Struthio camelus: one gene and its partners. The protein of the gene in region 1 interacts with the protein of each later gene in a biochemical or structural test. Links are inferred from orthologs where the notes say so. Each region holds a gene or a part of one and is shown on either strand. Other genes may lie near its edges. The genes, in order: NHERF1, TBC1D10A, ABCC4 and EZR.

Region 1 (7,983 bases):
GCCCGGGGGGGACGGGGAGGGACCCGGCCGGCCCCGGAGGCAGCGGCGGCCGGAGCCCTGCCCTCGAGTCCTGCAGGAAGCCACATGCGGAGGGTCCCGACGGGGACGGGACACAACTGCGCGTGCACGCAGAGCTGTCACCCTGGCTGGGGACCGCTGCCGCAGCGGTACGTCTGGTGGGGCCGGCAAGGCCGGCGGCCAGATCCTGCTGCCCCGCCGGGGCCGAGCCTGGGGCTCCCCGCGGGCCGCGGGCGACGGCCAGCCGCGGGGGCGAGGGGGACCCCACGCCTCCTGGGGGTCTTCTCGCTCGCTCAGCAAGGGCTGAGCCTGGCTTTCCGCCTCACGCTGCCTCCGTGCCTCTGCCTCCCCTGCGGCCGACTCTGCTCCCGGCGTTGATGTCGTGAACGGCCTGAGCCGCCGCCGCCTGGTTCCCGGGCCCTGCTGGGCTCCGGCTTGCCCCCAGGCAGGCTCTGGCCCTGGCTTTTCGCTGCTGCCCGGGTGTTTCAGGAGAGCAAACGCAGCCCTACTTCGCCTTGCTCCCGCTCTGGCGGGCGAGCGGCCCGGAGGGGACGTGCGAGAGGGGCGGCCGTGCGGGTCGGGGCTCGAGGAATTGCTTCTGGGCAGCAGCTTACGGCCACCGGGGAGGCTGCCGGGGCAGAGACGACCTGGCTCCCGCCGAAGGAGAGCCCGGCCCTGTCGCAGGCCACCGCAGGGCACGTCACCTTGTGCGTAGCCCTTACCTTGCCCGCGAGCTGAGCCGGGAGGACGCCGGCAGCTCGCCAGCCCCGCTCGGCCCCTTCCAGCTCGGTCGCTGCCCTCTCCAGCGTCACAGGGAAGCGGCGGCTCCCTCGCCACCAGGTTCCTCCTCCGCAGGTCTGTTTTGTCCAGGTTTCCTTGCCCCGTGATGTGGGTAAGTCTGCGGGGCCCCTCGTACGTGTGCCTGTACGCGCGCAGGGCTGTGCCGAGCTGCGGCGGCTCGCTCTGTCCTCGTTCCTGGCCCCTTGGCCACGTTGCTGTCCGATCTCGGGCGTTTCCTGCCCCCAGTCTGGTTCAGGTACCTGCCCTCAGGCTTTGCCCAAACTGGCGTGTGGCCTCGCGCTGGCCCTGTTCAGATGAGCAGGAGCTCCCTGTTCCCATGGGGTTTCCCCCGAGCTGGGTCTCTCCTTTGGTCTCGAACGTGCTCTTTCTGGACATAGCCAGGGAGCTGCTGACTGCTGCTTCAGCTCTAGGCTTTGGGACCGAGCAAAGGCGGTAATGGGAGACCTTATAAATTCCCAGCCCAAAATCTTGGTTGAGGTTTCCTCCCATTGCTGTGCACGTAATGCAAATATTTCTTCCTGCCACTGGCAAACAGCAGATTAAACCCACTCTCTAGAGAGCAAGCAGATGCCTAAGATGCTTCAGGCAGCAAGCACTGTTGTGTGCGCTTCGTAGGAGCTGCAGGGGCCCTGGGGGCACGTTGCGGACCCTGCATCGCCTCCCTCTTCCTTCGGCGGACAGCGGCTGCTGACGTCTCCAGCGCGCTGCCTGCCCGCACGCCGCGGTAGCACGGAGGGCAGGACGCGCCTGCGGGGAGAAAAGGGTGCAAGACGCTGATTGCGTGGTTATATAGCTCAAGACCTGCTGCTCAGACCAGAAGCGGAGGGGCTGCCCCGGGTGGGAGTCCTGGCATGACGCGCACCTCCGACCCGTGGGCGTCCTGCCTGGCCCGGCGCCCGCGCTCCCGCCTGCCCTGGCGCCTCCTTTGCCTCCGCGCCGCTCACGGGTCTCTCTCTCTCTCTCTCTCTTTGCAAGTTTACAGAATTAAAGCTCGGTATTTTAGAGGCCTGGCGTCTGCCCGGTTGAGCGCGCGTGAGAAAGCGCTGACCCGGGGCCGCGACGTGGGCGGCTGCCGGGCCGGGGCGGCGCGGGGGCTGCCGCGGAGGCAGGGGCGCCGGGGGGAGCGCCGCGGCCCCTTCCGCCTCGCCGGAGCTTACGCTGCAGATTTCAGGCGGTCCAAAGGTGAGAGGGGAAGAGTAAACACGGCCTGTTAAATTAAAACCGACCTCCTCCCCTGCTGTTCGCATGGTGCGGAGTCCGGCATTCCCCAAATAACTCTCTCTTCCCAGCAATGGCATTGCTGCTGCCTCTTGGCTGATGTCGGCAGAAAAGGCTGCTTAGCTGCAACACAAACAGACGTTGGCTCTTTTCTGCTTTCTGTCCTGCAGCCTGAGCTCTCTGCACGTCACGCAGAGCTGCGAAGAGCCCCGGCAGGAGGACGCAGCTGGGGTGGGAGCGGTGCCGCCGGTATCCTGCCTGCTCGCGGGTGCTGGGGGGGCCTGGCCCCGAAGCGCCTCTGGCTGTTTCCTTTTGTGCTGCATCGCTTCCTTATCTGGGTCCCCGTGCTAAAACCATCCTTGCTAGGACTGGGTTTTGTTTCCTGACTTAGCTAGCGCTCCCGAAGAGCACGTCCCCTCTTTCCCCTCGCGCCCACACGCGTGCGCGCGCGGGGGGCTGCGCTGCTGGCAAACCTCCTTCCGGGGGGGGACGGCTCTGCCTTGCTGGGCTGCTGGCGAGCGCCGCGCGGTGCGCTGCGCTGTTTCTCCGGAGAAGGCTCAACGCTCGATCTGCCTCCTGCCACTGCGTCTCCCAGGGCTGAACGGCCCCGAGCTGACGCTCAGCAGAGCGGAGGAAAGAAATGAGCCCACCCTCGGCTCTTGAACGCAGCCCCAGGACACGCGAGCGTTTGCTTGGCCGGATGCTGGGTTGCAGAGCCGTTGGTGTGACCGGTGCAGCCCTTCCTGAGGTTTCCGAGCCCTTTCCAACACGCTGCGTTGCCCCTCGCAGGGTGCTCCGTGCAAACCCTCGCGGGAGGGACGCTTCTTCGAGCGTGCTGGAGTCCCTCCTGCTTGTTTGCTCGGCTGTAACGCAATTAAAAGTGATTCCCAACTGCTGCGAAGATCTGCAACGAATCTTAATTTTAACCGGGCCCTGAAGTTCGGCAGCGAGACGCTGAAATCACCACCGCGGCCGCTGCAAGGTGCCTTGGGTGCAGGCAGCCGTCAAGGCCCGGCAGCCCCGCTCGCCGCAGGAGGAGCGGCGCCGGGGCCGGCTGCGGCGGGCGCCCTCGCCTCGGCCCCGGCTGCTCCGGAGAACCGGGATCTCGCACTTTCATAACCTCCTCCTGCGGCCTCTCCTGCTTCCCCGGCTGAGGTCAGCACCCATGGGTGCTTCCCCTCGCCCCGCAGGCCCCGCGCACGGCGCCCCAGGCCTGTGTGCCGGGGCGCCGAGTGGAGGTGGAGCCCGGCCCGGGGATGCTCTGGGGAACTGGGCTGCTCTTTCGGTTCCGCTGCGCAGCGGGTTACTGGAAAGCGCTGCCTCCTGTGCCGTTTTCCCGTGCAAATCTGGTTTCTGTTTGGTTTTTTTCGTTTTGGAAGGGCAGCGCAGCTCTCCACATTTCTGCTTTGAGCAGCCCCACGGCCCAGCAGCGGGAGCGGAGCTGAAAACGGTCAAACTGGGAGAGGGGACTGGGAGGAAGGGGGTGCGGAGCTGCTGCCCGTGGGCCCCTCCTCGGCCGCGGGGGCGAGGGCAAGGCCCAGCGGACGGCGCTGACGAGGAACGCCCTGGCTAAGGATGGCCGCAGGAATACGCCAGCGCTACTCCCTTTTCCTCTCCGAAAACAACAAAAGCGGCTGTTTCATCCGACTCTGCCTCAGCTATTCTTAGTGTCCCCTCCTTGGGCGCCTGCAAAGGAAAAAGTTTCCTGGTTTCCCAAGAACGGCGAAGGTTTCCCGCCGCGCTGCCGGCTGCTCCCACCCCGCTGCCCGAGCTCCCCGGCCGGCCGGGCCCCGGGCAAAGGCACTGGCACGTTTTGTTTTAGCATGCGCTAAACCCCACTTGGAGCTTCCTAAATCCTGCGGGAGGAGCAGCCGGCGCCTGCAGCGACTCTAGGGGTGGAGAGGAAGGGAGAGCAAAGCCCACCCCGACCCCGGGGCCGCCCTGGCCCCACGTCCCGCCTGGGAGAGGGACGGGAGAGTGCAGGCAGAGCCCGCGGAGACGGGAACGGGGAGGCGAGGACGCGGGCCTGGAGGAGCAACCCGGCCAGGCGGGCAGCCGTGCCCCGGCGCTCCGGCCGGGCAGCGCTCCCGTCCCGCGGGGGTGCTGCAAGGGAGCGATCCGGCCTCGTGGGGAGCGATCCGGCCCCACGGGGAGCAATCCGGCCCCACGGGGGAGTGATCCGGCCCCACAGGGAGTGATCCAGCCCCATGGGGAGTGATCCAGCCCCACGAGGGAGCGATCGGGCCCCAGAGGGACTGATCTGGCCCCACGGGGGAGTGATCTGGCCCCACGGGGCAGTGATCCATCCCCACGGGGGAGTGATCTGGCCACACGGGGAAGTGATCCAGCCCCATGGGGAGCGATCCGGCCCCACAGGGGAGTGATCCGGCCGCACGGGTGAGCGATCCAGCCTCACGGGTGAGCGATCCAGCCTCACGGGTGAGCGATCCCGCCCCACGAGGGAGCGATCCGGACCCAGGGCAGTGATCTAGGCCCACGGGGCAGCGATCTGACCCCACGGCTGAGCGATCCGGCCTCACGGGGAGCGATCGGGCCCCATCGCTGAGCGATCCGGCCTCACGGGGAGCGATCGGGCCCCACGGGGAAGCGATCTGACCCCACGGGGGAACGATCGGGCCCCACGGGGAGCAAGCACCGGCGGCTGCTCCGGGCTGGAGCCCCCGGCCCCGAGAGCCCGGTGGAGGCCGGGGCCGCCCGGGGCCGCCCGGAGCCGCGCTGCCCCCCGGCCCCCGCCCCGCGCTCTGGCCCCGACGAGAAGGGGGCGTGGCTCCGCGCATCTTCATTTGCATATCCCCGCCCCGCCGAGCTCCTTCTTTGGCTGCGGGCTCGCCCCCCTCGCTCTTGATTGGTCGTCGCCGCTGCCGGGCCCCGCCCCTCGGTATAAAGGCCGGAGCCCGCGGCTCGGAGGTTCATCCGGGAGCGGCCGGGGCAGCGCGGGAGCCGTCGTCGCCGCCACCATGAGCTCCGCGGCGCCGCCGGGGCCGCGGCTCTGCTGCCTGGAGAAGGGCCCGAACGGCTACGGCTTCCACCTGCACGGCGAGAAGGGCAAACCGGGCCAGTTCATCCGGCTGGTGGAGGCGGACTCGCCGGCCGAGCGCTCGGGGCTGCGGGCCGGCGACCGGCTGCTGGAGGTGGACGGCGACAACGTGGAGGCGGAGAGCCACCAGCAGGTGGTGGAGCGCATCCGCGCCGCCGCCGGCGCCGTGCGCCTGCTCGTGGTGGACCCGCGGGCCGACGAGCAGCGGCACAAGGCCGCCGCCGCCGGCCGAGAGCAGCCGGCGCCCGGTGGCGGCGGTGGCGACGAGGCGGCCACGGCGGCGGAGCCCCCGCGGCAGGAGCGGAGCCCGGCGGCTGAGCGGGTAAGAGCGGCGGGGGGGGGGGGGCGGTCTGCGTCCCCCGGGCCGGCCCGGCGGTGGTCGCACCCCTCCTGCGGCTCCCCAGGAGCGCTGACCCGCTTCCTTCTTTCTCGCCCGTGGCCAAGGCATCGCAAGTGCCGCCTGCGCCCGGAGGCCTCCCTGCGGTGGGCGCAGTCGGGTGCTTATCGCTTTGTGCGCCTGAAGTGCACTTCCCTCCAAAAAAAAAAAAAAAAAAAGGCACCCGGAGACCTATCTGCAGCAGCGCCCGGGGGAGGCTAGGAGCCAGCGGGCTCGTGTGGGCCGCTCGTCTCTCTTTTATTTAGTTTTTTTGCATAATACTTGTTATCAGCTGCATTGGGGGGGGACATAAACAAAGGCAAGAGGGCTCATGGGGCTCATCAGGACCCTGGGAGCAAGTAGCACCTCGTGTCGTGGAGCCCGCCTGCTGCAGGACCAGTAAAACAGGGTCAGAAATCCAACAGGAAACTGTCGGAGCATGCCACTGCTCGCAGCTGCTGCTGGCTCTGTCAACAGGTAGCTGCAGCCCGTGGTTTAGTGTGAACCTGCCAGCTCGCTGTCAGGTCATGCTGGGAGCTTCCGGGGTGCTTTTTGGGAAGAAACGCTTTGCTCTGAGCTTTAGTCAAGCAGGTGTTTGCTCTGGGGGCTGGGACAGGCGATGCTTTCCCTGTGCCCTGCCTGCTGCTGAGGGAAAGGGTGGCAGGACCTCAGAGGCAAGATTGCCCCTTTTTTCCTTTATTTATATTCAAGAGATTAAGATTCTCCTTATTAGTGTCAAACATCTCCAAAATAAGACCAAAAGCCTTGGCTGAAGGTAGATTTGGGGGCCATGACTGCAATTTTTTGTGGTTTGCATCCCCTCACCTTGCGGTTTCAGCCCTCGAGGCTGGGACGTGCCTCAAGCAGTGTTTGGCCACGGTACCCTCGCAGAGCAGAAACGATGGTGACCTCCCTGGGAAGGGGGGCTCTGCTCCGTGCGGCCCGTAGGACTTTGTAGACAGACACTTATCAATTCGGGAATGTCAGCCTTAAACAGCGCGTGGGAGTTTAGCCGTTGCACAAACAAAGCAATATAGAGAGGTAAGGAGTTGAGAAATATCTGACCTTTCCTACTCAGAGTGGTTTCTAAGAGACGCTTTTGGCTGCCTGCGATAATACTGCTTTTTATTTACCCAGTGAAAACATGTGTTTGTTGTTACGACGAAGATGGAGATGGTCTTCCTCAGAAGTGGGCTGGGATGGCCCTTGGGGTCAGCCAGCTTATCCCAGGGGCTGAGGAAGCCTTGATGCCAGCTCTTACGCAGTGGTTTAACCTGTTCCTAAAAACTATCTGTGACAGCAATGCAACTGTAGTAGCAGCAGGCTGCTTCATCGCTTATTGGGGACCCTCCTTGATTAACCACCTGAGACAAAGCTGGATCCTCTTTGTGGAGCAAGGGACCAGGCACTAAAAAGCCAGGAGTGGGGCTTTGCCAGCAGGTGAGACGGGGCTAACGAAGCTCTGCTCTGGCTCCATGCACCATGGAAGCCCCTAGGAGGGTCAGGTCCTGCAGGTGTTCCCATTGCTGATGCTGAGCCTCCAGGCAAAAGGCTCCCGGGATGTTTTGCTGAGGCTGTGTGTTAAATCCCTAGCGGTCACACTGTGGATGCCCGAGCAGCGTTAGGGCCCGGCTGGGAATCACTGCAGCATTTGAGTATTGCCCGCTGGCTGGATGTTTCTCAGACCTGTGCCTCGAGGAGGGCTGAGGGAGAGTTGCATTTGATTTGCAGATCTCCTGAGCCGTTTTACGGAGCAAAACAGGAACCAAGAGGGATGAGGATTTCAGAGCAGGGTGTCAGGAGGGAGTGGATGGACTTCGGTGCCTCGCTAAGCCATCGTCCCACAGGGCTTTGCAGAGGAGCAGAAGTTCTGCTGATGTTCTTGTTGGACTTTAGCCCAGTGCCAAGTGTGTGTTCCCCTTTGGCCTGGCTGACCTGCGGTGGGGACATACCGGCCTGGGGACCTCCTGGAACAGGCAGGTCTTGTTAAAGCCTTGTTTTATGCTTAACAGCGTTGTTCCACAGTTGGAGTGGCTGTGTGGGTGCAGATCGCTTCCTCTGTGGTCTGAATGAGAGGGACAAAGTGTTTTTTCCCTAGGTGTTTTCCCCAGGTGAAAACAGCCAGGAACATCCTTTTATCCTTACTGGAGAGAGGACGGCTCTGTCCCTGATCCTCCAGCTGGGACAGTGATAGTGGGCTCAGAGCCCTCTGGAACCAGTCACTTGTGTTACGGGACAGACACCTTGTTATCTCAGGAGTGCCATGGGTTTTCCAGCCAAGGCACTTTAAGGACGCAGGTTGTGGTCGATGGTAATTGGAGGACAAAGTCTGGATCAGATGGTTCCTGTCTGTTGTGAGCTGACAAACTTGTGCCACTTCCTATGCATGCCTGTATCTTTAAGGATCCTCTGTCTTGCTTTGGAGAAATGGGCTGGATCTGATTAAGATAAGGTCTCTTTTTTGGGGGAGGGCGGTTTAAAGAGCTGGCTGACCTGGGCATGGTGTCCCCTG
Region 2 (7,373 bases), on another chromosome or scaffold:
GAATAGGGCCATGAAAGTTGTGTAAATGTAGTGACCTAATATGTAAGTGCAGCAGGCTTTTAGTGATCAATGCTTTGCTAGAATGCTGGTGTCCGCTTTTGCTATCTGTCCATTGAATTCCCTAATGAAGTGGCATTGAGGCCATGCCCAGCTTAGATTAGCTCCATCTTTGTTTGTAGAAGGGGTTTATACTGATCAAGAATATCATCTGACTACAGTGTTTGCCACTTCATTTAATCTTTTTCTAATTGAAAACTTTCTTCTCGATATACTTAATACACTCCTTATTCTTTCTCTGTCTCTGACCTATCTGCAAGAGTCTCTTGCACTGACCCTGACTTGGAATTTTATCCTCCCTCAGTATGAGTGCACACTGCCATTCGTCATGATAAAGATGATCTGGGACTGTGCATGCTAAACAACTTCATGATTATTCTGTACAGTCTGTGATTTGTTTTAATAAACACCCATCTTAGTGTGGGATTCTGTCTATAACAACTCTAGTTCCTTGGGTTTTATGTTTTTTGTTTTTTTTTTTTTAAAGATTGAAATGTGCCTGGCTTTAAAGTGTTCAAATTTTAGATGCGTTGTGGGGAATTTTTTTTTTGTAGTTGGCTTATAGAAAAAGCTTTTCCTTCATAGGAAAAGCTGTAAGAAAGGGTTTTTGTTAAACTTCTCTAAGACTACACAGTTATTCCCATATTGTAATACAGGTGTATATATAATTGCTGTTTATGTCCATGTATGAGGTGACAGATTATTCTGAATTTAAATCTAACTAGTGAGAATTTCCTTGTAAAATGCATTACATACTTTGTGCTTCTATCATCTCTTGGTCACGGAGAGCATTAGCTTCTAAAAATAGATTATTTTTGTACCGTCAGTCATAGCTGTGTCACGGTTTGATGCAAACATAACACAGAACATGGTGAAACAAAAAATAGCCATTAAAATCTATGTGTAAATAAGTGGTCAAGGAAAATGCTGTTGTCTGTTGTTGCCCAGCAGCGGCCACGTGACTCTAGTACCTCTGCTCTCCTTTTAGGATAATCCAAAGCTATGATTTTTGGGGTATAGACATTAGCTTTTAACATCCTGTTATTTTGTGCTTAGGAGAGAGAGAGAGAGATTCAACATCCTACACAGGACAACATCCTACAGTCCCCTTTGTGCCCTCATCTTTGAGGGTAGGTGGGAGAGAGGAAATCATAGTGGTGTGGGAAAGGTGTTTGGCCCAGGCCCAACCCAGGTGGCTGGCGGTCCTCCCAGCTCATGGAAGCCAGCTGCTGTTTTTGACAGATGCCGGTGTCGGATGCCCACGTGTCTGAGAACAGCACAGCGCTTAGTCACAAAAGCGCAGCCTGCTCTGGTGCTGTAGGATATTGAATTAACAGCTTCTTGCAGCTGTGGGCAGGGTGTTTGGGTGTATTGTGGATACAGAGGTGCTCCTGCCCTGCAGGAAGGCGTGCTAATTACTTTTGGCTTGTAAAAACTAGACAATAGTTAGGTACAATCTCCTGGAGACAACAACACTCGGTGGCATAGCTTGGAGTCATTGCAGTGGAGGCAGCAGTTTGCTAAAACAGCATGTGCATAGCTAGCTAGCAAGTGGTGTTTTCCAGAGCTGATCAGCTCTGCAAGGAAGAGAGAGCTCTGAAATGGAGAAGTGATGTTTCTACATCCTGTGTAAGACACCAAGCGTGATGGGGCTGCATTTAAGGTCATCCAGCTGTTGTTCTGGGCTGCACCCATGCAGTATGAACTGCCATAGTGCTTGATGCAAGGAGCATCATCTGCGCTCCCTTATCAGACATTTATTTCCTAGGTGTCTCTGGATGAACGCTGTGCTGGTGCTTAGGTGACGTGCTCGGTCTTCAACAAAGTCAGGCTACTTCTACAAGCGTCTGACTACATCCTGCACGGGGCCGAGTGCCCAGCCCAGCATTCCTGCAGGAGAACTTCCTGCACTGGCCTCCAAGTGAGAGCACTAGAAATAACTTGCGTGGAGACTTGCCAACAGCCAGCCCGTTTCTATCTAAATATTGCAGATGAATGTTAAAACAAGACTGCGTGTGTGTGTATCCAGTACAAAACAACTATTATCAGGGCCTTCCACTTCAGTGGGGTGGATCTGCAAAGCTTAGACTGCCTGAAAAAAATCTGAAAATAGGCCCATAAAGCCAGCACCTGAATTAACCTATCAGTCTCCTTGGCCCTTCGGACTTGATGTCTTGCAGGTTTGTGAGGGGTCTTGACTCTATTAAAGCCCCTCTGCTTTGCTGTTCGTGGGAGAAAGTCATGCTTTGTGTTACTGCCACAATAAGTTTAGCCTTCAGCATGGGGTCATAATTTTATCAGAGGGTGATAAGGGTCTGGACACAGGGAAGGAGCTCTAAGGCTGCCTCCTCGCTGCAAAACTGCCAGTGGAAAGTTGCATCCATTTTGACCTGTACTGGACGAAAGACCCAGTGCTGACACTGAAGTCTGCTTTGTGCTGGGCCCTGCTAGATCCTTGTGACTAGCCGGAGGAGTTTTACTTGTGTGAGGTAGAGACGAGAAAGCTCCGCTAGATTTCAGCGTGCTCCTTGGGTTTGTGCTTCAGGCCACTAAGAGACTCGCAGATAGCGGCAGCTCGTTTGCAGAGACCTGGGATCTGTGGGCTTCACTGGCTGCCGGTTCACTCCTGCTGTCCAGCTGAGATGTGAGGGAGATGCTTCTGCTGGTGACCCTGCTCGCGGTGTTGCCCTGCTGGCAGTTGAGCTGTTGTGTGCCTGGTACCCTGCTTCCTCCCCTCCCTCTCCAGGGAGTCCTGGTACAAGCTGCAGTTGTAATATGAGAGATTTTTCAAGGCTTGATGCAAAGGTTGATCTCGTGGGAGCAGAGCGGAGGAGAGGTAACCAAAAGGGTTTCTCTAGAGAAATGGGCAGGTCTGTTTTACGCTGCACTGGTGTAGGCCAAGCTGGGGGACAGTTTGTGGTTGTGTGCTGGAAATCACAACTACAGCATGCTTTTAAAGGCAAACGCACGTGTAGTTTCCTTTTAAAGTATGTTTTTTGTGAGCCTGTTGCCTTTTAACTGCAGTACCCAGCCCTACAACCAGACCGACTCTCACAGCTTGAGCTCTGATAATGTGAAACAGCTCTCTGTGTCTATATGACTTGCCACTGAAGCCTGACCATAGCAGATGAGGAGTTGCTGGTTGTATCTGGTGCCCTAGGAGAGCATGAGGAGAGGCAGAAGATCACACAGGTGGTGGAGACTAAATTGATGGCTTCTTTAAGTCTTCTGTCACCAGCTGGCGCTTCTGTGATGGCTTTGCCATCTGACAGCCTGGGCTGCAGAGCTGCTCCCCTCTGAAATGATCTTGTGAAATGGTCCCGAAGCTGAGGGCGCCTGCGCTGCCCCATGGAGCCCTCGGTGCCTGGCTGGGCCCGGGGCAGAGGTGAGCCTCGGGGCGGACGCTGCCCAGAAAGAGCTGCTGGAGCTCCAGGAGGATGTGAAATAGGCTCCTTTGGGGGCTGGAGGGGCAGGAAATCCACTGCAGGGTCAGAGAGAGAGGGACTACGGTGCGGCCCGTTCCCTCGCTGGCTCTTCAGCACCAAGACAACCCCACGCGTCTGCAAAAGCAGCTGAAATCAAAGCAGAAGAGGCAGATGCGTTGCCTCGCCGGCCACAGCACAACCGGAGGAGGAAATGGGAGCTGCCAGCGGGCACTGGAGCCGCCCCAACTTCAAAAACAACGGGGCGCTTCCCTCCCGGCCGTTTCCACGTTGCGGGCTGCGGTGCTGCCGTGGCCCATGTGCTTCCCTCCCGCGGCGTGGGGGAGGCGGAGCGGGCCGGCGCTCCTGCGTGGCCCGAGACCAGACTGCCGTGGGCCGGGCGGCGGCGGCGGCAGCTTCCCTGCACAGCGAGGGAAAAGGCAGACGAGCCTTTTTGAGTCTCGGCGGCTCCTGCCCGCGCGGCGCCGCCCAACAGGGGCCGGGGCTGCCGGCCCGCCGGGCCAGAGCGGCGCCTCGGGGCCCCTCGGCCGGCGCTTCCGGCGCGGCCGCCGCGCTGGGCCCCGATGGCGGCGGCGCAGCCCCCGCCCCCGCGCTGACTGACGGCGTCTCTCACGCTGACGGACAGCTCCCGCCCGGCGGCTCGCCCAATCACCGCCCGGCGTGAGCCGGCCCGGCCTCTCCCCGCGGCCGCCGGTTGGCGAGAGGGGGAGGCCCGGCCCCGCCCCCGCGCGGCGCCCAATGGGCCGGCGGGGCAGGGGCGTGGCGGCGCGCGGTTGGGCCGTGGCGGCGGCGGGGGCGGGCCGGGCCGAGCCGCCGCCGTGGCCGGGCCGGGCGGCGCGGGGGAGCGGCCGCGCCGCCGCCGCAGCGCCATGGCCAAGAGCCGCGGGGGCGGCGGGCCCGGCTCGCCCGGCAGCCGCCGCGGCCTGGCCGGCACCCGCGAGAGCCTGGCGGCCGAGCCGGGCGGCGACGAGCTCAGCTCCCTCGGCTCCGACTCCGAGGTCAACGGCGGCGGCCCCGAGGAGCGGCGCGTCGACAAGTTCGGCTTCATCGTGGGCAGCCGCAGCGCCGAGGGGCCGTGAGTGCCGGGGCGGGGGCGGCTCCGCGGGGAGCGGGCGGGCCTGGAGCCGCGGGGCCGCCCGGGGCTCGGCGGCGCCTCCGGCCCCCGCGGCCTGCGGGGCGCCCGGCCCGGCCCCGGCCGCCGGGGAGCGGGCGGCGAGTCCTGCCCCGCTGCCCCGGCCCGGCCCGGCAGCGGCCTGCCTGCCTGCCCCGGGCCCGCGCTGGCGCCTTCCCCGCCGCGCTCGGGGCCGGGCGGCCTCCGCCGGGGGTCGCGTTCCCCGCAGCCGCCGACTGCCTTCGCCTCTGGGCCCTGTTTCACGCGCTCCGGCTCTGCTCGGTGGCCGGGCTCCCGCGCCTGGGCTCCGCGGGGCCGGGGGGAACCTCCCCCCGTGCCTGGGGTAAAACCCTGTCAGCAGGGTGGACGACCCGCAATAAACCTCGGGCTGCTTTTTTTCGTGACTCTCGTATCGGCTCTTAGCGCGCGAGGCTGGCAAGCAGCGCCCGGGAGGAGAGCGGTGCGTGACGCCTCCCTGGCGTGCTGCACCGCGTCCCTGCCCGGCGGCGTCAGCCGGCTCCCCGAAACCGCTGCCTGCAGCGAGGCGGCTGGGGGTGCCGGGGAAGTGCTGCACCTCGAGGAATCCAGAGTTCAGCTGTCAGCCAGCCCAGCATCCCACGCAGACCCGTCTCAAAGCTGGCTTGCAAAACACCGATGCTCCAAGGCCAGCTTTGGCTCGGTGGCACCATAGTGAAAACAAAACAGTCCCTGTGGCCGGAGAGAAGTGAATTTTGGGCTATGTTGAGCCTACAAAGTGTGAATCTTGGAATGCACCAGGATAGGGTGATCTAGAGCTGTTGTTTGTCCCCAGCGCCTCTGTTTAGGCTGCTCCTGCCGACGTTCTGACGTCGCTCGAAGTGACCGAAGCTTGCTGGGCAGTGTTCCTGCCTCGTGCTGTAAATTGTTTAAATTTTCTTGGGGGAGTCACAGAAGCAGGACGGTGCAGGGTCCTCTGCCTTTCCCCAGCCTCCTGCGCTCTGGCGCCGGCGACTGTCTGTGGGCTCTCCGCTGCTCGGAGCTGGGACGTCCTGCGGCGTTGCTTGCGCCCACAGCGGAGCGTGAGGCTGGAGGAGCGACGCTCTGGGTCCACGTGGACGGCTTTCCTGCTGCACCAGAGCAGCAACGGGAGTTGCAACGGGAAAAAAGGCAGCAGGGGAAGTTGGGAGAGCCCCTAACGCTGTTCCAGCTTCTCCCGTGTCCCCTGCCGGCTGACTGGGAGGAGAGAAGAAGGGAAACACGCAGGGGGCTGGAGCAGTTTCAAGGAGAGGCTAGAAAGCAGCGCTCGCCTTGGGCGGGGGGAGGCGTGAGGGAGGAATTGCTGAGCGCCGTAAGTAACGCCAAGGCCTGCTCGCTCCCCTTCCACTCGGTGATGTCAGTGTCTGGTTACCTTGAGGCCTGTTCTCGTCCAGGCGCTGGATTCCTGCGTATTTTTGGCCGTCGTCTGACAGGGGGAGGCCGTGCCGTTGTTTGGCTCTCCTGGGTGCTGGCTTCCTGCGAGGGGAACTCGTAGGCTGGTCGGGAACATCTGTAGCCGCTGGAAAAGCAAGCAGTTACTGGAGGGGCCATGGCGAGGAGGGGAAGGCGGCTGATCTCCGTTTGCAGAGGAAGCCATCGGAGGAGCCTCCAGAAGGGCTCCCGCCCTCCCCGAGCCCCGCGCAGCTGATGGTGGGAGGAAGCGAGGCTGCTGAAGTCAGCTCTGAGCAGAGCAGCGCCAGGCTTGCTGGCAGCCAGCTGGGAGGCAGGAGGGCTAGTGGCCGTGCTGGCCCCGTGGCTTGTCCCGCAGCACCAGACTCCGCCGCGGAGCTGGGTGGCGCTGGTTGCGAGGCGCGCTGGAATGTGCCCCGGCCGCCCCAGGTCCTGGGGAGCTGGTTTGGCGGCATGTTTTTCTTCCTGGCGATGATGTTTTTGCAGCGACACCCAGAGAAGCGAGGGATCAGACCTTGCTTGGGCAGGTGGCCAAGGTGGCAGCTTGATCCTCTCTAGCTGTGGCCTTACCTAGGACTGGCTCCCCTGCGATTTGCACCTCGCAGGACGCTCCTGGACGCCCTTGTGGCCGATGCGGGGCCGGCGTGACAGCTGATCTGGCCTGGCCCCCAGCCAGCAGGACCTAGCTGTTTACCCCCCCCCCCTCACCCGGTGCGCGTATTCTTAGCGCGTCTGTGAAGTTCCCCGAAGGTCAGAGGGGTGCCGGGGCTGCGCACTGACATGTCTGAGCTCTTGTCCCCGCTCGCCTGCTCTGATGTCGATTGGGCCGCATGCCTCAGTTTCTCCATCTATGAGGAGCAAAGCGTGCATCCCTCCTGAGTGTGGGAAGCCTTCGTAAGCCAGGAGCCTGTGGGTGCTAACTCTGCTCCCCCAGTACTGGTGTCTAGGGAGAAAAGCTGCTGAAATGTTGATTGCTCGGCTGCTGGGCAAGGTGCTTTGCTCTCTCGGTGGGTGTCAAATCCCTCATCTGCCTGTCGGGATCATTCTCGGTTAATTCATTCATGCGCTCGGCACTGCATAAAGTGGGAGGCTCTTTCCTGGATGGAGGAGCTCTCCTGCCCACAGTGACTGTAGCCGGAGGCAGCTGGCTTGCACGTGCCCCTCTGAACGAACCGTCACCTCTCGGGGCGCTTCTGAAGGCGCCGTGGTGGCAGCCCCGTTACTCGGGTGCCCTCTCTGCGGACGAGAGCACAGGAGGATGTCCCCGCTGTCGTCCCAACAGATGCGGGCTGTCACTTGTGTTCGAGTTCCTCCCAATGGCTTTCTCCTGCGGTTGC
Region 3 (7,482 bases), on another chromosome or scaffold:
GATCCCATTTCTGCAACACATAGTAATTTCAGCTCTACTTCTACACCACTGGCAACAAAGGGGGGGGGGGGGGGGAGCCTCCTTACAACAGCAAGATTGGATTTTTGGAAAAAAAATAAATAGAAGGGGAAAAAAAAGGGAGGGGAGGGGGGACACCTGCCCAGCTGCCTGCAATGCTGCTAATAAGGACAGAAAGTAGGGCTAACAGCCAGCAGCTAGGGTTTGGGCAGCACAGCAGGCCTGCTGGAGCAACCACATGTCAGTGGTTGCCGCTACTCCCCGGACAGCCCTCCTCAAACACTGTTTTTCCAGTTCTCCAACTGAAAACATCTCTAAACATCCTGTGTGAAACAGCACTTCCAATGAAGCAGTGCCAAGAAATGCTTACACAGTTGTCAAAAGCTGTGTGCTTCGCAGAAGCAGTGAACGATTCCTAAAGCTAACTTTAAGGGTAGATTTATAGCTAGTGAGGTTCATTTTAATCCTTTCTCAGTTTTATGTAAAAAATTATTAACTTGCAGAAAGATGACATCTCCTAGATCCTCAATTTAAGCCACTGCAGACATCGCTTCAGCTGAATTTTTCACTGAAAAAATACTAAAGCTTTTTGACTAGCAAATAGCTAGAATATACTGGTATTTGATGATCACATGCAGCATAGGTAGAAGGGTGGCATAATGTTGCTGAAGCCCGTGAAAGCCTGGCAGATAGCATACAGAACTTTTTTTTTTTTTAAATTCAGTAAAACTTTTCACATGCTATTAAAAACTTACTTCAGAGCACAAGCCCTACAGTGGAGCCCTACTATCTGAAGACTAAGAAATGTAAGAAACTGTAAAGTAAAATGCTCCAGTCAATCTCTGAAATTTCAGGAGGCCTATCATCTCACAAACACAGGGCTCCTCTTCCTCTTGCCCCCTTGTAGAATAAGAACCTACAAATGTGTATGGGGTAAAAGGAACCTTTTAAGTGCTTTCCTAAAACTTGAGAAATTTTAAATGGCTTTTGTGGGTGCTGCTGAACAATCCACTGCAACACCCAGAGAGCAATAAGATGGATGATGTGAACAGTCAAAAAAAAAAAAAAAAGTCACGAACACTGCACACTTCCTTTTTCACCTCTAGCAGAACTGCTTTTGGCATAACTACTCGTGGCAGCACAAGACCCCTGCAAGAAAAGGTGAACAGAGCAAAAGCAGTGCTGCACTGCTAAATGGCCAACCCGTAGTTTATCCCATTCTGCCTGGATTTCCTAGCAAAGTTGTTCCTAACATGGGCACCCCAGCGCTAAAAAAAGAAATTACAAGTCAAACTGCTGAACACAGGCAGCTCAACAAAAGCATGCAACCTGTTTTTTGCACACAGTACCTCCGAGGACATTTCCTTGACCGAAAATGCGTTTAGCTAAAATCGGTCAGGGCCTTTAAAATCCCTCCGCCTTCTAGAAAGGATCCCTGCAACTGCTCACAGCTGCTTTTAGGATCGGAGACTTTGGTGTTGTGTTTAAGAGGCTTCCAAACACAGGGGCCTCACGCACCATGCCTTCTCTTCCTTCTCCACCAAGTACTCCGGCACATGCACCCGGAGTTCAGGCGAAGGTGAAGCAGGGTAAGTACGTGTAGGTACCTGTACCTCTGCACCTGTTCTCTTCCAAAGGGGTCCTGCTAAGATGGACAAGCTTGATACTCCCCCTTTGCACCTTGCATGTCTTCTTTCCTTACCGTATTTCAATGCAGTGAAACTACCAGACCATGATTCCTCCCTGCTTTGAGTAATTATGCGCATCTGCGCCAAAGCCAATGACAGTAACAGAACAAGCATTAACTGCGCTGCCACAGTAGTCATCTGGTCCAGCATAGAAGTTACTGGTTTCCGAGTATGCTTGCGTAAGCGCCCCGTTCCCCGCCTTTGCTCTGCGACACCTCAGGCCCCCAGAGAGTCAAAGCAGAAGACTGCCCTTACACTGGGAAATCCCTAAGCAGACTACGCAGTTCAGAGAGAAGAGAGGAGAAGAAAAAAAAAAAAAAAAAGACTCCGACAGGGAGATCAGCAAGCGCTCTCGAGATGAGCGGTACCTGCCGCCGACCCGTTATGCGAGCAGCGGCGCGGAGCCGCCGGCGGCAGCCGTGCCGGAGCCGCTGCCAGCACCGGGCACCCCGGCGCGGAGCAGGCTCCCTGCCCGCCGAGGGGATGCAACACGTGCTCGAGCCGAGCTGCAGGGGCACCCTCGGCCCGGGGAAGCGGTATCAGACCCGGGAGAGCGGCGGCGGGGAGGAGACGTGGGACCGCGCTGGCAGCCCCCGCCTGCTCCCAGCGGGGCTTCCCGGGGTGGTACCGGCGCGCCGGAGACGCGGCTCCCCGCAAGCGGCGGGTTAGCAAGCTTTGACCTCAGGAGACCTCGCCTCGGCGGCGCCGCTCCCGCCTCCGTCGCCGGGAGCCACCTGCGGGCGAGGGGCGCTCCGAGCCGGCGGCGCTGACACGTGTTAACCCGCCAGGCCTTCGCCGAGCCGCCTTTGCAGAGTCACTGCCGGGAGGCGCCGGCGCTTCCCCCCCCGGGGCGCCCGGACCCTCGCGGGAAGCCCGAAGCGGAGTTGGGGGGGGGGGGAAGGAGAAAGGAGGCGGCGGGCCCCCCGCGCCGGCACTCAGCATCCCCCCGCCGGCCCCAGAGCCCGGCGGGAAGCCAAGGGGCGGCGAGGCGGCAGCGCCAAAGTCCCGGCGCGGCGCCTTCCCCGCCGGCGGGCAGCCCCGAGGCCGCACCTCGCGGCGCTGCCGCCGCCCCCCCCCCCCCCGCCTCCGCTCTCGCCCTCGGCCGGGCGCTCACCAGAAGAAGAGCCGGGAGCAGAGGTTGGCATCCCGCAGCGGGTTGGGCTTCTCTTCACGGGGCACCGCTTCCATGCCGCCCGCCAACCCGCCCGGCGGCAGCGGCGGCGCAGCACCACGGCCGACTTCCCACCGCGGCAGCCACCGCCGCTTTGCCGCCGGCCGGCGCTGTTTCCGGGAGAGCCGACACCCCCCCACCTCGTCCCTCCCTCCCGCTCTCCCGCCGCAGGACGCCTCCTGCCGGCCCGGCTCCCCCGCGACGCCCGCCCCTGTGCGGAGACGGAGACGGCGGCGTGACGGGTAGTTCCGCAGGGCCGCGCTGAGGCGACTGCCGCCCTCCGAGACGGCCGGGGAGCCTCCCCGCGGCGCTGCCGAGGTCCCTCCGCGGGGGAAGCGGAGCCTCCCCTCTCCCTCCCGCGAGGCGCTGTCGCCCCTTGAAGGAGCCGCTGCCCCTCCCGCCGTTGAGCGGCCGTTGGGCGGCCGTTAGGTGCCTGGGCGCGGGCCGAGCCCTCGCGCCTGAGGGGAAGCGGCCGCCCCGGGCGGGTTTGGGGGGGAGGGGGGGTGCTCCGCTGTCCCCTCAGCGGTTGGTCGCCTGTGCGTGCCTGAAGCGAGTTCACTTTTTTTGCCCTCGTGGCCCTCGAATAAAAGGCTGTAAAGGCCGCGAGAGTTTGTTTTGTTTTGTTGTACTGAGCTAAGGACATCGCCCTGTTTGTCACGCTGTCGCAGGCTGCCGCCGAGTGATAGTACCGTCTCCAAGATCTCTTCGGCGGTGCTGTCTGTGAAATGCTGCCGCCGTGCCACGTTGTTGCGGGTTGAAAACGTTATTGTCCTCTCGGCGCGGACCGCACCAAGCAAGGCACCCGCAGGCCTGACTAGGTGGAGAAACAAGCCGCTAGTGAGGAGCAATTGCAGCCTCGTGGGACTGACCTGCCAGAAACACTCGTTTCCACCTCTCCTTCCTAAACATTGCAGCGACTTGTATTAAAACACACACACACACACACACACGGGGGATGTCCATATTCCGAATTACAAGAACAAGGGCACTGGGGCAGCATGAGAGCAGCCGGATGCTGGTCTGAGTCTGCAAACCGGTGCTATCTGCAGCTCCAGTGTAATGATGTTGAGGAAAGTTTGGTGGTACAAAAAGTACCCCCAGAAATAAACCAGAATACATACACACACACACACACACAGACACACACACAAAAAAAGTAGTTATTTAATTCCAAGAGAAGGTGCATCACAGAAATCCTTGAAGCCCTTCTCAGAAGTTGGGTGCGATCGTTGTCAGGGCGGACGATGGCCGTACTCCTCTCCGCTGTTGTCACTGGGGCTTGCCGCAAGGGATGGGCCTGCAAGCAGTGGAGGGGACTGCAAGAAATCTAAGATAATACAAAGGTGAGGCACGTGTCTGAGGATAACCAAAAAACTATTCAGCTCAGTGAAAAAATACCAGGCAGAGTAGGTGTCTGCCATGCCCTAATTTCTCTGCGGCCTCCCAGACCCCTTTTCCCTCCAGCTGAGCCAGCTGCAAGGCAAGTCTCCTGTTTATTCATCTTTCGCCCTAGGAGCAACCAACCCTATCTCTTCCTGCTAAAATGGCTTATCGGTGAAATAGTTCCAGTATCTGATTATCACTATAGGTACATAGAGTTGGCACACGGTGAAGAAAAAAGAGGGTGGTAAGGTCTGGGCTACACTGTGCCATCCAAGAAACAGATTCACTTCACGCTTGCAAGGATGTCATAATAACCATAACACAAGTAAATCAAGCGTAAGTTTGCTATCAGTTGATAGCGAGGGAGAGAGGTGAGAGAGTTGGCAACAAAAAGCGTTGGCTGAGCATACTACAGGATTTTGCAAGCGATAGGTAGTACACTTCTCAGCACCTGCCTATAGATCTGTCTGGATTAAAACAAAGAAATACACTTAGGGAACTGGTGCAGTGATTTGCAAGGGCAGGCTTTAACAAAAAAGTGCTTTGTGTATTCCAGAAGAATTAACTTAAGTCACCTCCCAAAACATCTGAAGACAAGGTCTGTCCGTCAACAAATTCTGGCAACCTGGGTTTAGATTTCTGAGAAGCAAATTTGTCTAAACAGATATGAATAAGAGAATAAAAGGCATGACAGCCCAATGCAAGTCCTAAAACTTCAATAAAGTTTGGGTCAAATAGTGGAGGAAAGGAAGATGTAAATCTTTAAACTGGCATCTATTCATGAATCTGAAACAAAATCAAGCCAGATTCTTGCAAGGAAAGATTATCAAAACATTTCTTTGTTTGGACAAGAAAGCAGAATATTAGTCATGAACAAGTAATTTTTTTTTAAGAACACAAGATCAGAAAGTAACTTTTTCCAAGATTATTGTAACGGTAGGAAAATGGCAAAGAACAAACCTCAAGAAGTAAATTTCGTCTTTCCCAGCATTATCGGTGACAATTATTGACAAAATATAATTTTATAATAAATACTGCTGTCAGATTCCCATGTCTGAAACAAAACTCTATAGGAAGGTTTGGAGAAGGGAAAACTAAAGATTTAGCAATGCCCAAAGAATTATAATAAAGTTCAAGAGGAAAAGAAAAGCCTGAAAGCCAAATTAATCAGTAACTCTGTCAAGTGTACAAGTAACCAATGGAAACTGATGCAGCAATAGAGAATTGTGAACCAGTTAGAAACAGTAACAGAGATGCTCTGGAAAAGCTGAGACTGCACATGGAGAGGAGAGAGGAGGGAAAATAGATAGCACAGAGTAAGGAAATTAATCATCTTTATTTTAGGGGAAACGAAAAGCAACTGCTGATTTTTTAGTTATCCGTTGAATATTTTCCTGTGGTAACAATATATTCACGGCATGGAAGACTAAATATGCAAACAACCTAATCGAAAGTTAATATTACATAAATCCGTAATAAAGATATCAGTCTAGCAAAGCCAAGTACTCAGATTAGTCAATGGCCAGATTAAGCGAGTGTCATTTGAATTAAGCCATTTATGCGTATACATTATGCTATGGTAATTGGACGATCACAAGGGATTCCATAAACATACAAACACAAGTTTCTGTATTTATTCAGTATTCAAAAAGGACATATTCATTAAACAAGCCTCTGTGCAAAGCATGGTTTTAAATCCTCTTCGCTGTACTCTCTCCTCGTTCTGAACACAGTCAGAATCACCAGTTTCTTCATATTCCTTTTCTGTGGCACTTACCACTCTAGTATGAGGCGTTCACACACATCTGCTTTTCACAAAACCCTTAAGAGATAATTGGGCAGCTTATCTGCCTTTCAAGTGGTAAAGAGAAGCGTGTGGATCTTAAGGCAAAATATAGCCACTGATTCTGAATATGCAATCAGAACCAAAGGCTTAATACTTCTGAGAATGTAGCACTGTAACCTTTCACAATCAGGCAAGCGCCCATTGATTTCGGCTGAGAGGCGAACAATTTCTGCAAGTCACACCCCAGCATCTCAAGTCAGGTACCTGGAAAACAAGGACACGTGCCTGAGTGTGTCTTAAAAGTTTGGATAAACGATTTAATGAGCACACTACATGATATCTCTGAGGCAGTACTAAGGGCAGAATCAGATTCAAAGCTGTTTGAAAGACTTCAGAGGCAGTAGTTTTCTGAAGACAAGCTGTCGTAGCAGACTGTGAAAGCTTTACCACAGTGCATTGTTTAACTTTTGATCGAAGCCAGGCAGAAAGACAATCCATATGCTGCGTGACAAACCAACTAGACAGCTCCGTTTCCTGCCATGCCATGGGCAAGAAAGCAGGCTGTCCGCTGGCTGGGAGCCCAGCTAGTCACTATCCAGTCTGTGGCCTGACTCATCGTCTCGCTGACGTACTCAGTGAAGAATAGTTTCTCATGCTCCTGCAATACGGATAGATAGGCCTGTTCTTGTTCAGCTGCAGAACAGAAATGTCAGTGGTGCAGAATCAAGCTGTAAGTAGTTTGCTGTTTCCATCTAGCTATTAGTATATAATAGCAGCATTTTTTCTCAGATACTTTCTCTTCTTGTTGCTCTGCTAGCCATCTCTATTCTCCCCGTATCTTTTAACTACCTGTATCAGTTTTCTACATGCCATAGTTTCTAGTTTACACTAAACGTAGGTGCCTACTGCCGCTGTAGATATGGTAGGATATTCCACTTGGCTGCTAGCCACCACTTCAGAAGGCTTCAGGTCTTCCATAGCTTCTGTGCTGTATCTGCCAGTCCCATGCCAATGTCTCAAGTGCCTTTTAAATGGCAATAGATATCTACGTTTAGGCAACTGAACCCCATCCTTACCATCATCACTTCTGAATCAATATGGGTTTTAGGCCAAAGTCCTCTCCATCTTTCACTGCAACATCAAGTCATTTTGGCCAATAAGATTTTTCCTAAAGAGCTCTTAATTTCCATTCACATTTTTCTGCCTACGTGTCACACCCACACATACATACACACAATATTTCTGTTAATTTTCATAGTTTAGTTCTTTTAAATTCATTGTTGATGTTTGGATGCCCAATTATTTCCTTCATTAAAAAAAAGTTACGCTCAATTATCCGTAGCGTACGGCAGTTTCTAGTGATTATCTGCTAAGATAGGATTCAAAAATAGTTACTTTCTATTAAATTCAGTATTTATTGCAATAGAAAAGTATCA
Region 4 (7,148 bases), on another chromosome or scaffold:
TTCACAACTGTCACACTTTGCAGAACATCCATGCTAAATTACAAATTGAAACTGCCTGAAAGCATTTATATTAAAAATATTTATTTCAGTTATTTTCTGGATAGTTAGAATTTATTTTGAGCGCTGTAGACATGCATCAGAAAAATCCAACTAATTACTTCAAATATGGCTACAGAATCTGGAATACAGTCAATTTTCTAGCACTTTAGTGATCATGTATTTTAGTTGAAAAACCCCCAGTGTTCTAGTGTTAGTGCACTTGTTGTTTGATTACTGTAAAAGAAGAAACTTCAAAAATGATGCATAAGGTCTGCTCGAGTGCTTATTTTTTGTTAAAACAACAGCTTCAAAGATTCAATTTAATGGGTTTCTTGCTAAAGTTTTGGTTACTGATTGCAAGTCAAGATTTTAAGATGAAAAATTGATGACCAAATTGTCAGCGTTCACCCATAGCAGCATGAAATCTGCAGGCAATGTTATATTTACTTACACCAAGCAGAAACAACACATGCAGACATGTGTGGAAAATAAACATTAAGTATTCACATCAAATATCCAAGAGAAACTAAGGCTGCTTCTTTGTGCTCCCTAGGAGTTTATACTGTTGTTCCTCAAGCATGCCAGAGGTTGTTGTCCTGTTCTGAGTGCAATTCTGCTTCTGGACAGACAGCTTTACATCCCCTCCCACCATGCCCTGCAAACTGATAGGAATCCTATTTAATTGTATTAAGAGCAAATGAGCTGGGCTGGAAAGAATCCAAATTCATTGCCTCAGTCTGAAACAGTCAGGCTAAACCGTTTTATTAAAAAAATCCCTGCAACAGTCCTCCATTTACAGTAAATTGGTAGTTAGCAATACTGATAAGCAGATTAAGTACAGATTTTAAAATAATGCTTATACTATACAAGAAGACATTGCCACACAGCCTTGGCCATAAATCCCAGCCAGTAGGTCACATGTCTCTGAAGTTATTAGTACAGTTGACAATCGTCCTTCCCCTGCGGCTTACACCATCCACCTATCACCATTTTGTCTGTGCTGTTCACCAGGTAGTCAGCCAACAAGGCAAGAAGCCATATCAGCATCCATGAGGAAACATGCACAAAACTAGGCCAGGTAAAAGGAAGAACGTGGCTGTAAACAGGTCTTTTTTGCTTGGTTTGGCTTTTTTTTTTTTTGGGGGGGGGGGGGAACAGATTAAAGAGTTTTTCCACATCTATCCATGGCTTTCAGTATGGATTAGTCCTAGACCAGGATTTCAGATTATTCTAACTAGGGTATTCCATAGACAAGAGTCTGCATAATTAGCAAATGGCTAATAACACAGTTTTTTTATACACATATGCACACACATATATACACACACAAAATTTATGTTCATGCTTGGTAAATTAGATTTTCTACTCCAGCCTGCAAAAGGTTATTTTCAGAAGATATTTTAATATGCAGTAATATATCAGCTACTGCTAAAATATAATCTAGGGGAGACTAAAGATACAGAAGTTCTTAAAATGATTGTGAGCATTAGTTTTTATTGGAGGTTTACAGAGACCACAACATAAATTAACCTAAACACCTCATTTCTGAAAGAGGACAAGTTAAACTAACTTAAATGTTATGATAAAATATTAATTGCTTACTACCTTAAAGATAAGCTTATTACCTTAAAGATAAGATGCACCTAATAGTCACATAAATCCTTCACGACACTGCATTTTAAGAAATATTGCCTCTATTGGAAAAAAGATAGCAGCAATAACATGGTCCGACTATGGCCAGAGTTCAAAAATGTGTTTGCTCCAATGACTACTTAGGGCTTTACATTAGGCAGCTGGTCCCTCAAGAGACTTGCTGTTTCTAACCGCAGAGGGGGAAACAGATTAAAAAACCCTCACCCCCTGCCAGCAAATCTATAATTCGGGATGCAACAACGATACAGGGACCGAGGAAAAAGAGGCCGATGAAGAAGGTTTGTTCAGTTAAAGGGCAGGAGGGGAATGCTTTTTTCTGATGACGACCAGGATGGACCAGCAGCAGTCCCACCTGCAGCACTGCAGAGAATTGCACTAAGAGGCCCCGGGATTTAGTTTTTAGATCACAACACAATACAAACAAAAATGAAATTTCTTATATATTTACAAATACACGTGATTCCTGCGTGGAAATGCATACCGCGGATAAACACCAAGAGCAAGTCCGTGCTGTTTTGCCATCTCACTGTGAGAATATGCCCCCCAAAAAACAAAGAAAACACCCCACACCTCTTAAGAGCTACTCCAGAGGGCTGCATTTTTCCAGACACAGGACTGTTTCAGAAAACAAAATAACCCACTGCTCGTCCTCTTTGGAGGGGGCTCCCGAGGCTCTTCCCCGCCGGGGGAGGCCGGGGCGCGGCGCTGCGCGGGGCCCCGACGCCACCTGCTCGCCCACCGCCCCGCGAGCGCGTTTAACGCTTCAGCATCGCGCCGCGGGGCGCGTTGGCGTTTTTAAGCGAAGCTGCTAAGCGGCTCCAGCCATCGCTTCTGCTTGCACGAGCCACCTCTTCCGTCCGGGGGCTTCTTACACGAGCCAGGGGTTACTCGCACACGGCGGGGGCTCCGCGGGGTTCGCCGGGGGCGCAGCGCCCCCCCCCCCCCCCCGCGGGGCAGGCGGGCACCGCGGCGGCAGCGGCGCGGCTCCCGGGGCAGCCCACCCCGCGGCAGGCCGGCGCCCCCCGGGCCCGCGGCGTTGCCGACGGACGCGGGCAGGGCCGCGCACCGGCTGGGCCCGGCGGCCTCCCTTACCGGCTTCGGCATCTTCCGCGGCGTGGAGCGTTTCCTCTTAGTCCAAAGGCAAACGTTCAGGCACCAGCTGTCTCGCCCCAGCCGAGGAGGAAGGAGGAGGAGCCGCTCCCAGCCACGGCGACGGCGCAGCCCGCGAGTGCGGCGCCGGCCGCCCGGCGGCGGTTAAGTACGCAGGTGGGGCCGCGGCCGTGACTCACCGCCGCCTCCGCCCGGCCCCGGCCCCGGCCCCGGCCCCGGCCCCGGCCTCGCCCCGCTGCGGCCGGGCACCCCGCACCCCGCGCCGCCGGGAATCCCCGGGCGGCGGCAGCAGGTGCCGGCGGCGGAGAGCCCCGCCGCGCCGAGGGAGCCCCTCACCGCCGCCGCCGAGCCTGGCGGCAGGGCCCCCCCGCTGCCCCGGCCTCGAGGGGAAGGGGCTGGCGGTCGCGACCGCCACGCAGCACTGGCACCGCTCGTTGTGAGACGCGCTTCTTGTATTTAACGTAAAGTTCGTCGCCGGTCTCTTAACAGCTGCGGTGCGTCTCCACGTCCAGAATCAGGTGATACGGTTACCTTAAGAAAAACCCCAAACCCACAGGACTAACTTTTGTATGAAAGACTCTTTGCAGCAATGATGGCGTGGGAGGGAAGTCTGAAAATCCACCCAGGCTCAGAAACCAGAGGGCCAAGAGAGCACAAGCTGAACGTAGTTACTGTAGTTGATCGTGATCTTTAGTCAAAACTCAGGAAAGATTACGAGAGAGTTTAGAGACATACACAGATGACAGTCGGTGGCTCTGCCCCTTGCTTCTTGTCCTTCCTCGTCCACAAACACAGTGCTGCGGCTCAGGTGGCCGCCGGCTCCGCAGAGGCTGCTGGCCTCCTGCAGCACTTCGCTCGGCTGCGCGCGGGAACAGCTTGCATTTACGCAGTCACGGGCAACGGCCTGCAGGCCAAAGCTCTTCCTGCGTGCCCGTCACGGTAGCAGTAGGACTAAAGAAATGGTGCAGCCTGCTCCCAGGTTCAAGCAGCATGTGGCTGTTTCATGAGAAAAGGCATGATGGGCTAGGAAACGGGAGCCACAGAACAAGGGGGATAACAACCCAGAAGATGAAAAAGATATGGAGCAGGGAAGAGCCTGGAAGGTGTCAGTGGATGGTAACAAAAAAGATAGCACTAACAGGACAGGACCTGCACAGCAGAAGAAGATAGAAATGGTGTCTTAGCTTGAAGAGTCCACTAGGCAGCAGTTGGTACTGCCACATTAAAGAAATTATTGCTCCGTCAGGTCTCTGAAAGAAAGGGGAGGGGAACTGAAGAGGAGGCTGACACTGTTACCTCCCTTCCCTGTTGGATGATCCTAGGGCACTAATGGGGGCTGTCCTGTCAAAACTGAGCTATGGGGATGGCAGCTCAAAACAGCAAGCGAGAAGAAATAGTCTGATGAAGCTGAATGGCTCCTAAGAAAAGGCTCCGGGATCAAACAGCCATGGGAAACAGATATGGCCTCAGTTTCCAGATGGAGCAATTCCAGTGAAGCTTTGCTGGGATCAGGTTAATTTCACAGAATATCATTTGTGAGGGGGCTTTCTACACTCTTCTGCTGAGCAATAAGTTTATGCTAGGATCCATGCCCTACTCAAATAGGATGGTGCTGGACGTGGACCAGATCATAGTATCACTGCATTTTGAATAGATGCTGCTAAGCACAAGAAACAAATATTCCAAGTACAGAATACTTTAAGAATCCATCAGCTTTCACTCAGATCCCTAAGCTGTATTTTTTGATTTTTGGGGGGTGGGGAAACATGTAGGTGAGATATTTTCATTCCTTAGTCTTAACATCCAGACTCTGGCTGTGACTAGATGAAAAAAAAGCCAGAATAAACTAGTGTCTGCTTACACTAGAAAGAGGCAGTTGCACAAAATTTAATGGAAAGCTCATTTCTATCCTGGGAGATTTCCATCCCAACAATCCTTTCCTGTCCAAAGCTTGACATGGGCTCAGAGGCCATCACCCTGGGCCTCTGTGTTGGAGCAATTCCACGTTGGAGTGATGCTTCATGTAATAGATCCGAATCAGATGACTTGAATCAGTCGGGCAACTGTTTGTTTCCGTATGTTAGTTACAGATCCAAGCTTAAAACTGGGTTTTTTTGGTTTCGTTTTTGTTTGCTTGTTTTTGTTTTTTTTTACACTTACTGTTGCCTCCTAGCCACAGAACTAAAAGTAAAATGAGTTTAGGTGACTAATAATTGTTACGTCAAACAGTCTTTAGGTTCCTGTTTGCCACCACACATAACCTTGTGCCATTCTGCCACAATCATCAGCAATGTATGGGGAGCGAAAGATACCTCAATGGTATCCATAGCTACTGCCTTACTCAACATAGCCCCACCCAGAATCAACCAACATGAACACGCTGAGCTTAAACAGGCAGAATTGTCTTCTGTGGAAGGAACCAGAAAAAACAGCAGGTTGCAGCATACATCAGAGACCCTTGGCCTCCCTCTTGGGCTTCGCCTAGTGCTAAATGTGTTTTTAAACCCCCTTGCCTGCAGAGATTGGGTGTCTTACTAAACTCCTGGTTAGGTAAGGTTTCAGCAAGGTGCCTTTGTCACAATAAGAAATACTCTTCTATAATTGGGTCCTGGTTTCTGCCCCCGGCCCCCCAGTGGATTGGAAGAAGGCTTGTGATATTATTCCCTTCTGCCTTTTTATATAGAAGTGTATTCCTCCTTCGCAGATGCAGTACAGCTTCCCTTTGCCACTAGAGGAGGGTGGAAAGCCTCCAGTTCTCCTACTTTCCTGACAGGCAGCCTATTGAATTTTTGGAGCAGGGGCATCGTGTGTAAGACTGATACGCATGCTCTAAGAGTGCTTACAGTTTAAATCCCTTTTGGAGTTTGGGCAGGAGAACATCAGAGCAGGTGTTAAAGGGGTGCAAAGCAATCAAATCCCATCAAGACAAGGTTTGAGGCAGAACTCTAAATATGAAAAACAGATACAAATATGCAGAAGTAAAAAAGTGAGCCTGGGGAATTTTCAAATGAGAAACCGGTGGGACTTGGCTACTTCTAGATTTAGGTATTGGCTTAGCAGGAGAGAACTTACACAGCCACCCTTACTACAGGATCTTCGATCAGATCTCACAGCTAACTAACTGCAAGACCCAAATCAAAATGAAACCAGCCTTCACTAGTTCTGGTGCTCATGGAACAACTAACTGCTTTCAGATTTGGTCCTTTAAGTATTCTGGATCTCCATTTCCCTTAAAAATCCTGAGGGATGGTATTTCCCCTACCCCAAGAACTGAAGTGCAAAAAAAGTCTAGTTCTGCCTTTAGTAATCTTTCTATTCAGTTTCTTAAGTTGAATTTCAAAATGAAACATACAACGTACATAGAAACTAAAGCAAAGACTTGTATACATGACTCATTTAACATTTGTGATGGGTTGTCCAGGTGCATAAGGGTTTAGCAGCCAAAATTATTTCAGATAAATTAATGCAAACAGTTGGATGAGAAACTGTTCAAAATCATGACTTGGCATTTTATCTCATGTTGTGTATTTACTAAACTTAGCTTCTCATTCTGAAGCCTTTAAGTTACAGCATTAAGAGTTGCTCTGATAAACCACTTACTCTTAACATGCTCTATTAAGAGGGTAGCATTACTAACAATTTACAGGAGTTACTAAAGCAGAGGAGGTAATGAAAGGACCTAGATTGCTCAGCAGGTCAGTAGCACAACCCAGTTTCTGCTTTCTTGCCTGTAATAGCTCCTGTACCTTACTGTCCACTAAGCTTTTCAGCCACCAAACTGTGTCTTAAGTCAGCCTGCCATCAGCCTGACCATCAGTCATCAAGCCTGCCTTCCCTGTTTTAAAGAAAAGACCCATTTAATCTCTTGTTCTACCTTAATTTTTAATAACCTTAATTTTATGTATGTTTTGTTGTAAAACATACATAAAGCATTTGTCAGAATTTGCTCAAGAAAGTCCTATTGCTGTAAGGTGGCTTTTGCTAAACAGGTTTGGTGCCAGCTCAGTTCTTTGTCAACATCAAACTTCCTAAACCTGATCATCCTGGACTGGTAATTATGGAACATATGTGTCCTAAAATGCTATCCTTGGTTGGTCACGCAAAATCAGTGGTCTCAGAAAAGTCAAATCTCAATTCCTTGTTTCTTCCTATAGAAAGCTTTATCCAGGCTAAGAACTTCTGGCAAGGCATAGCTGGAATCTCTCTCTTTGCAGCATCTCTCTTGGCTGGTTTGCAGTTTGACTCCAAGGCTTTTTTATTAACTGGAAATTTATAGTAGCTAACTCTGTCCTCTTAACATTGTTCACAAGCCATGCATTCAGTAGAGCAGTTAAAAGAAAATATAT

The links.
Region 2: the proteins of NHERF1 (region 1) and TBC1D10A form a complex in vitro, tested with the Homo sapiens proteins (2 studies listed by BioGRID and IntAct). The link is inferred for Struthio camelus from reciprocal best matches to the Homo sapiens genes NHERF1 and TBC1D10A.
Region 3: the proteins of NHERF1 (region 1) and ABCC4 form a complex in vitro, tested with the Homo sapiens proteins (3 studies listed by BioGRID and IntAct, with this or other methods). The link is inferred for Struthio camelus from reciprocal best matches to the Homo sapiens genes NHERF1 and ABCC4.
Region 4: the proteins of NHERF1 (region 1) and EZR form a complex in vitro, tested with the Homo sapiens proteins (2 studies listed by BioGRID and IntAct). The link is inferred for Struthio camelus from reciprocal best matches to the Homo sapiens genes NHERF1 and EZR.

The regions. Positions count from the first base shown.
Region 1 is NC_090960.1:7,868,554-7,876,536, forward strand, and holds the start of NHERF1 (Na(+)/H(+) exchange regulatory cofactor NHE-RF1), read left to right. Parts: upstream 1-4,975; 5' UTR 4,976-5,015; coding exon 5,016-5,417; intron 5,418-7,983. UniProt on the Homo sapiens protein: Scaffold protein that connects plasma membrane proteins with members of the ezrin/moesin/radixin family and thereby helps to link them to the actin cytoskeleton and to regulate their surface expression. Necessary for recycling of internalized ADRB2.
Region 2 is NC_090958.1:4,806,345-4,813,717, forward strand, and holds the start of TBC1D10A (TBC1 domain family member 10A), read left to right. Parts: upstream 1-4,360; 5' UTR 4,361-4,369; coding exon 4,370-4,575; intron 4,576-7,373.
Region 3 is NC_090942.1:166,326,171-166,333,652, reverse strand, and holds the start of ABCC4 (ATP-binding cassette sub-family C member 4), read right to left. Parts: upstream 3,002-7,482; 5' UTR 2,895-3,001; coding exon 2,821-2,894; intron 1-2,820. UniProt on the Homo sapiens protein: ATP-dependent transporter of the ATP-binding cassette (ABC) family that actively extrudes physiological compounds and xenobiotics from cells.
Region 4 is NC_090944.1:77,387,672-77,394,819, reverse strand, and holds the start of EZR (ezrin), read right to left. Parts: upstream 3,018-7,148; 5' UTR 2,797-3,017; coding exon 2,785-2,796; intron 1-2,784. UniProt on the Homo sapiens protein: Probably involved in connections of major cytoskeletal structures to the plasma membrane. In epithelial cells, required for the formation of microvilli and membrane ruffles on the apical pole. Along with PLEKHG6, required for normal macropinocytosis.